Rattus norvegicus: one gene and its partner. The protein of the gene in region 1 interacts with the protein of each later gene in a biochemical or structural test. Links are inferred from orthologs where the notes say so. Each region holds a gene or a part of one and is shown in the gene's direction. Other genes may lie near its edges. The genes, in order: Mettl22 and Kin.

Region 1 (3,817 bases):
TGCTGTCTCCCACAGGCTGTTGTTGTTAAGGCCTGCTGTTGTTAGCATCACTTTTACTGTTTTTCTATGAGAAAGATGTTTTCTGTGTTCCTGTGTCTTCCACAAAACTTAAAAATGAAAAGTTGAAATGGTTAGTGATAAAAATAGGAAGGAGGGTTCTCTTGTGAAGCCACGCATTCCCTCACAGCCCTTGTGTCGTGTGTTAGGCCCTGCACAACATCTCCTGACTTTGGCTTTGCTGCTCCCACACCAGATTTTCAGTCAGAGCTAAACCTTGGGCTGTCATCCCAGCTTGTTTATACCAGGCTTCTCCTTCAGACACAGTGACCAGAAGAAGGAGAGGCCCTTGTCTTGATTCCCCCTCTACAGTTTGTAAACAAGAGACTTGGGGCAGACAGGAAAACCTGAATTCTATAAATGATGTTTAAAGAGTTGGCTGGGCACTTGGGAGATGGCACCGGAGGGTCGGGAGCTCCAGGCCAGCCTCAGCTACATAGTAAATTTCAGGCCAATAAATTACCAGCCAAAAGACCCTGTCTCAAAAAACAAGAACCAAACAAAAAGTTGTTAATTTCATTTTGAAGAAAGAATCGTTATCTTTTCCAGACATGTGCAGACATTTGCTGGAGAATTGCTGGGGCATCTGGCATTTGCTTGTTAATGAGTGAGATGGGAGGGACTCTGGGAAAATGGGAGACAGAGTGGCCCAGAATCAGCAATGGCTGAAGCTGGCTGTGGCAACTGGTTACACAGTTCTCCATTGCTTGAATGTTTGAGATTTTTCACAATAAAAGATTTGAGGAAGGAAGGAAGGGAGGGAGGGAGGGAGGGAGGGAGGGAGGGAGGGAGGGAGGGAGGGAGGGAGGGAGGGAGGGAGGGGTCATGGAGCTGGTTCAGCAGGTGGAACACTAGTTAGACAAGGATGAGCATCCCAGCACCCATCAAAATGCCAGCAGGTGTGGTGGCCTCCAGGTCTCAAGCCTGGGTGCAAGTGCAAGGCAGGCCTTGTGTCAACATAGAAGGTAAAAGAGAATGCCAACCTCTGGGCTCCACACTTACACACTCACAGACATACCCTATAAACACATGAAAACACACACATAGAAACACACACATGTATGCTACATACACATGTGAAGAAAAAAAGAAAAGAGAGACAAATGGAGAAGGTGAATGTAATGTAAATTGTTTTACAGATTCTGCTGTCCAAAGGTACAAATGGTGGTGCCAGAGAACTCTGTGTGCGCTACCTCCCTCTCTCCCTCCCTTCCCCTCCCCCTCCCTTCTCCTCCCCTTCCCTTCCCTTCCTCCTCCCTTCCCCTCCCCCTCCCCCTCCCCCTCCCCCGTCTTTCTTCCTCCTCCCTACGCCCCCCATCTCTCTCTCTCTCTCATCTCTCATCTCTGCCTTTGTTCCCAGTGTGTTCAGTGTCTCCCTCTGCCACAGCCTGGTGTTTCCCAATCCCATAATCATGCCCAGTCCTCAGCACGCAGCCAGCAGATCCACCCAGAATCCATTTGCAGGAACTGGTACCCAGAGTGCCATCTTGGCAGCTGAGGTCAGCTTCCCATAATGTGGATCTGTGAAGCAGAGCCAGTAGCCGGTCTGGCGATGCGAGCAGCGTAGACACCTAAGGCAGCCCCAAGATCATGCACTGAGCAGGAAGCAAGCTGTGAGGATGGAGCTGAGCTCTTCTGGCCATGATGTGTGTGCTGTTGCTGGTCCATCCACAGGTTCAACTTCACACTGAGACACTTGGACGTCACGTGTGAAGCCTACGATCACTTCCGTGCCTCCCTGGACTCACTGGAGAAGCTGGCTGATGGCCGACTGCGCTTCCTGGTGGAGCCTGTAGAGACCTCCTTCCCGCAGCTGCTCGGCTATGAGCGCATCCAGCAGCTGGTAGATGCAGCCCCATGAGGGTGGTGGGAAGCAAAGCAGTGGGGCAGGCCTACCTTCCCATCTACGGTCTGCCCCACGGGGTTAGGCCTGCGATCTCTGAGGGGGAGCAAGGGTCGGGGGAGCTGCAGGCCTAACCCTGTGATCTCTGAAGGTGGGGAGGGGGTGTTAACCTGTTCTCAGCAGCCACATGGTCACAGCAGCTCTGTGACTAAGTCTCATGTTCTCTACGGCAGTTAAGACGCCAGAGGAAGGCGTGGGGGTGGGGGCAGCACCAGTTACTCTCCCCCTACTGAAGCGACATGGGTAGCCAAAGCAACTCCAGAAAGCAGCCTTATTCTGGCTCATATCCAGAGGGTACAGTCGTCATGACGGGGAAGACTAGGCCACAGGAGAAGGTGGCAGCTGGTCACATTGTGTCTAGTCTCAGGAAGCAGGGAACAGGAAGTAGGACTACCCTGTACACAGTGACCCATTTCCTCTTCCTCCTGCAAGGCTCTACCTCCTAAAGGCTTCACAGGCTTCCTAACCAGGGTGTCCAGATGGGAACCAAGTGTTCAGACACATGAGCTTGTGGGAGACGTTCCCAATTCAAACCAGCACAGGGCAGAGGGTCGTTGGGGAGCAGGAAGTCAGAGGGAAGGATCTGGAGTGCTGAGGACGGTAGGACCTCACCATGAGGAAGGGGACTTTGACCTGGCTCCCACCTTGAGGGCAGCCCTTCACAGTCGGGATGAGAGCTGCAGGAGTGAGAGCAGCTGCTGACTTAATCCACAGTCAGAGCAGAGAGTGGATACTGACGCCGCTCGGTTCCTTTTTCCTTTTTACCAAGTCAAGGGCCAGCCCTTGGGACAGCACCACCCACGTACAGGACGAGCCTTCCCACCTTAGTTTACCAATCTAGAAACTCTGCCATAGACACGCACAGAGGTTGTCTCAGTGATTGTAGATCCTGTCAGATTGAAGGTTTTAACCATGATGCTAATGGTCACATTTGCTCTAAGAAGTCTTGCCCCTCTGGCCAAGCACGAAGGCTCATACTAAGCTCTTGATAATCCTGCTGCAGTTGTAGCCAGCATGTGTCAGTGCCACATACCTTTGTCCCCTGTCTTAGCACACTCAGCCAGGAACTGGCAGATCTGGGTCGGATGGCATCTTAGAGCAAAAGCGCGTGCTATTACAGCTTCTAAACCCAGCACTTAGAGTAAATCTGAAAACCCAAAATTACCCTGAAAATTACCAGGAGCTGGGTCCACAGAAGTCCATCTGGCATCTCGTGTCCTTTGCCTTTTGGTTGTGGAGCTCAGGCCTTGTCCTCAGGAGAGGGCCAGCTTCCTCACACTGCTTCCTGTGTTCCTTCTTAGGAAGTAGAGTACTGCAGACTGCAGTGCTTAAGGCCCCCAAATGGCAAGACTGGCCACTTGCTGCCATTCCTGTCTCTTGTGACAATGTGACAAACCAGTATCCTGTAGCTAGTTCCAGATTGGTCTACCCAGCCACTGTGCCACCGTATAATGGCCAGAGTCTCAAAGACAGGAAGGAGTAGCTCCTGGCCCTGCCCTGGTGTGGTATGGCTCTGCTTTGTGAAGCCTCAGACTCTCTCGTTTCTGTTACAGGAGCTCTGGAAGATTGTGGTCGAGCCAGCAGCATGAGTCACCTCTGTGACCTCTTGACTATTATCTTAATGTATTTCAAATAAAGACAAACCCTCAGCCATCTTGCCCCTGAGATGCTGTCATTTTAAATACAGTGAGTGGCCCTTGCTTGACCCTAACTGGTTCCTGGGGCCCATCACTGCCTATAACAATAGCCCAAAAGTTAATTGCTCAGAGCGTGGTGGCTTAGCTCTCTCCCACTGTCACACAGCTCCTAAGTGCTCCCGAGCCACTTGGTCAGAGTAAGCAAACGCCGTCTATCTGC
Region 2 (3,817 bases), on another chromosome or scaffold:
TATCCTTTGTCCCTCCCTCACTTTCTTTCCTCCTTTCATCCACTTCCTGTTTTGTACATGGTTTGTGTATAGATTGCATTGTTCTAAGATAGCAAGCAAAGTAATGGGTTTCCTCATGGCATTTTCAAATGTGCTATTCTACTCATAATTGACAGTTCCCTACTGGCCTGCCTCCCTCCCTTCTCCACTGCTCGTCCCATCCCTTCCCCCCAAGTAATGTACTCCTCTCTTGTCATGTCACATGTTTTCTATCAGCTTCATTTTCCTCTCTCTCTCTCTCTCTCTCTCTCTCTCTCTCTCTCACACACACACACACACACACACACACACACACACACACACACACAACTTTAAATCTAGGTTTTACATATGAAAGAAAACATATTTGTCTTTGTGATCTGGCTTTTTTTTTCTTGTAACTATTATTTCATTTTTCTTTGATTATTTTATGTATGTGTGTGTCTTGCCTGTATGGAGACTAGAGGAGGCTGTTGAAGCCCCTGGGACTGCAGTAAGAGACAGTTGTGAGCAGCCGTGTGTTTGCTGGGAATCAAACCTGAGTCCTCACAAGGATCAGCCAGTGCTCTTATTGGCTAAACCATATTGCTAGCCCCTCTTTAGGACAGTATAATACTGATCATCTTTCAAATTACAGTTTTAACTTACTAATTTTCAAACTAAGTTTGAATGGTTTTCTAGTGCCTGCCTAAAATTAGATCTATATAACATGACATTCAAGATGATTCAAAACTTTGGCTAGACCTCATCTTCCAGACATAACTTCTCACTGTGGGAAGTTCCTCACATCCTCATCTCTCTTCTCAGATTTCTGCCTAAGTAGGTTAAGTGTCATGTCTCAAACACCCTGTGTTCATGACTGTTAACCGGGAACAATGGCCTTCCATTTTGACCTTTGAGTTATAGTTCACTGTCCATATTAAAATCGCCTCTGATAATGTTCTCAAATTTGTTAATGATGTCCTCTTACTTTCCTTTTCAGTTGGCTTTATTGGAAGTGCTTAGGTGAGGTGTGTCCCTCCTCACCTGGACAGAGTGTATTGTTACACTGGAGTCATCGGCACAGGGACCCTGGGGGGATCCTCTCTCGTGTGCTAGCTTTACTAAGGCCAGACAGCTCAACTCCAGGCTGACTTACCACTTTCCTTCGAAAGCCAATCTTTGCAGATCTTTCTCTGTTCTCTTAGAGGTTTGTGGCACATGGTAATGTAGGTGATTGGTCACTAAAGTTTGTGATTGCCCAGACTTCAGGAAGATGGCACATTATGTTTGTAGCCAGTACCTTAATGGCTCTCTGGCTTTCTTTCTTCACTAGGGAATTCCGAAATGACTTTCTGGAACTTCTGAGAAGACGCTTTGGTAACCATCTTAAATATTATAGAAATAATAATTTCATAATTGTGTGGGTTTTTTCAGGCTCAACAGTGTCATATTTTGTTTTCAGGCACTAAGAGAGTCCACAACAACATTGTCTACAATGAATACATCAGCCACCGAGAGCACATCCACATGAACGCCACTCAGTGGGAGACGCTGACTGACTTTACCAAGTGGCTGGGCAGAGAGGGTAAGAAGAACGAACGGGAACTGGTGATCCATGGCTCAGTTTCTAGGGGAGACGTCATTTCCTGTTTCTGATTTTATAGAAGGAGGATATGTAGAGCAATCAGAAAGGCAGGAGGCTGTACTGTCCCTCAGGTGAGCTTACTATATGCCACTTACGTTGTTTTGTTTCCTTTTGAAATTGGGCCTTACATAGCCCAGGCTGCACTGGAACTTCCGACGTTCCTGCCTCTGCTTCCTGGGTGCTGGGCTTACAGACTTTAAAGCTGCAGTAGCCAGCCTGAGGACTTCTTTTGACAGTGCACATAGGCACTTTCGTCACAGTGACACAACACCCGAGAACAATCTGTTTCGACTCCCAGTTCCTGAGAATTCAGCTCACGACCACTTGGCACCTGTGCTGCTAGGCCGTAGTGAGGGAAAGCATCGTGTCAGGGAGCACCTGATGGAGCAGAACCATGAGACAAGGCAAAGAAGGGGCCAGGGGTTTGCGGTGAGCTGTGCCCTTCTGGAGCATGGCGCATGGGGGCCTGCTCCCTCCTGCCAGGACCTACCTGTTAGTCTCTGCCACCTCCCAACGGTGCTCTCAGATTAGGAGTCCATGAATGGATTAATTCCCTGATGGAGTCTGGGCCTGCAGATCCAGTCACTTGACAATGAAGGAGACCAAGCTCTCAGCACATGAGCTCTGGGAGACGTTTGTATCCGAACCATAATGTTTGCATTTGGGTAAGAACTGTTATCAGTCTGATGGCCTGAAATTGATCCTTAGGGCACACCTTTCAGATTATTGAAAATTTCCAACCTCCACACAAACATATGTGTACATCACACAAATACACACATCACACCACACATAAACATGTGTATCACACATAACACAATAACATAATAAAAGTTATTATTAGAAAAGTTATTACTGCTAATAACTTTCTACTGTTTCTTATGGTCATATTTATCTTTCCTTCCTTCATTCCTTTTTTTTTTCTTCATTAGTTGAGACAGTAGTTTGTTCACACTGTACTCCAAGCTCCTCTAGAACTCAGTATGTATCCCAAGTTGGCCTGGAACTCCAGCTTCAGCCTCCTAAGTGTTAGGGTTATGGCATAGGAAATGCTTCGCATTCTGTCCTGACGTTAGTGGTCAAGTTTGCTCTTTCTCATTTCTAATCTCTACATGATGAGAAATTAGGAAGACAGGAGCTTGGTGTCAATATTTTGCTTATTTAGTATGTGACTTCATTCTGAGTTAACAGATTAATATTCATCAGACAGCAGAGACTCTGGTGTAGTTGAATAGTTGCTCCTGCTCCTAAAGTATTTCCTTCTGTGTCTCTCGTTACCTGTTACCTCAGTGCAGTTGTGTGAGCACGGAAGTGGAAACTCCTGTCTCAGGTCTTTGTGATTGTGGATAGTGATTGGAGTTACTGAGTGGGTGAATGTGCAGAGGTGGGAACTCTCCATGGTAGTTTACTCTGGATCTAGATAGTCATGCTGCCATTTTGACTTTTTTTTTAAGGCTTGTGTAAAGTGGATGAGACACCAAAAGGCTGGTACATTCAGTACATAGACAGAGACCCAGAAACTATACGTCGGCAACTGGAATTAGAAAAAAAGAAGAAGCAAGATCTTGACGATGAAGAAAAAACTGCCAAATTCATTGAGGAGCAGGTGAGAAGAGGCCTAGAAGGGAAAGAGCAGGAGACGCCTGTCTTTACAGAGTTAAGTCGAGAAAATGATGAAGAAAAGGTCACGTTCAATCTGAATAAAGGAGCGGGTAGCTCAGCGGGAGCAACAACGTCCAAGTCAAGCTCGCTGGGACCGAGCGCACTGAAGATGCTGGGGAGCACAGCATCCGTGAGGCGGAAAGAGTCTTCACAGAGCTCAGCTCAGCCTGCGAAGAAGAAGAAGAAGTCTGCCCTGGATGAGATCATGGAGATTGAGGAGGAAAAGAAAAGGACCGCACGGACAGACTCCTGGTTACAGCCTGGGATCATTGTGAAAATTATAACGAAGAAGCTTGGGGAGAAATACCACAAGAAGAAAGGGGTCGTTAAGGAAGTGATTGACAGATACACAGCTGTGGTAAAGATGACTGACTCCGGAGACAGGCTGAAACTGGACCAGACTCATTTAGAGACAGTCATTCCAGCCCCAGGGAAAAGAGTTCTAGTTTTAAACGGAGGCTACAGAGGAAATGAAGGCACCCTCGAGTCCATCAATGAAAAGACTTTTTC

What was found.
Region 2: of the proteins of Mettl22 (region 1) and Kin, one has a biochemical effect on the other in vitro, tested with the Homo sapiens proteins (2 studies listed by BioGRID). The link is inferred for Rattus norvegicus from reciprocal best matches to the Homo sapiens genes METTL22 and KIN.

What each region holds. Positions count from the first base shown.
Region 1 is NC_086028.1:7,620,075-7,623,891, reverse strand, and holds the end of Mettl22 (methyltransferase-like protein 22), read left to right. Parts: intron 1-1,731; coding exon 1,732-1,900; intron 1,901-3,513; coding exon 3,514-3,549; 3' UTR 3,550-3,613; downstream 3,614-3,817. UniProt on the Homo sapiens protein: Protein N-lysine methyltransferase. Trimethylates KIN at Lys-135 (in vitro).
Region 2 is NC_086035.1:73,323,452-73,327,268, reverse strand, and holds part of Kin (DNA/RNA-binding protein KIN17), read left to right. Parts: intron 1-1,333; coding exon 1,334-1,377; intron 1,378-1,462; coding exon 1,463-1,585; intron 1,586-3,099; coding exon 3,100-3,817. UniProt on the Homo sapiens protein: Involved in DNA replication and the cellular response to DNA damage. May participate in DNA replication factories and create a bridge between DNA replication and repair mediated by high molecular weight complexes.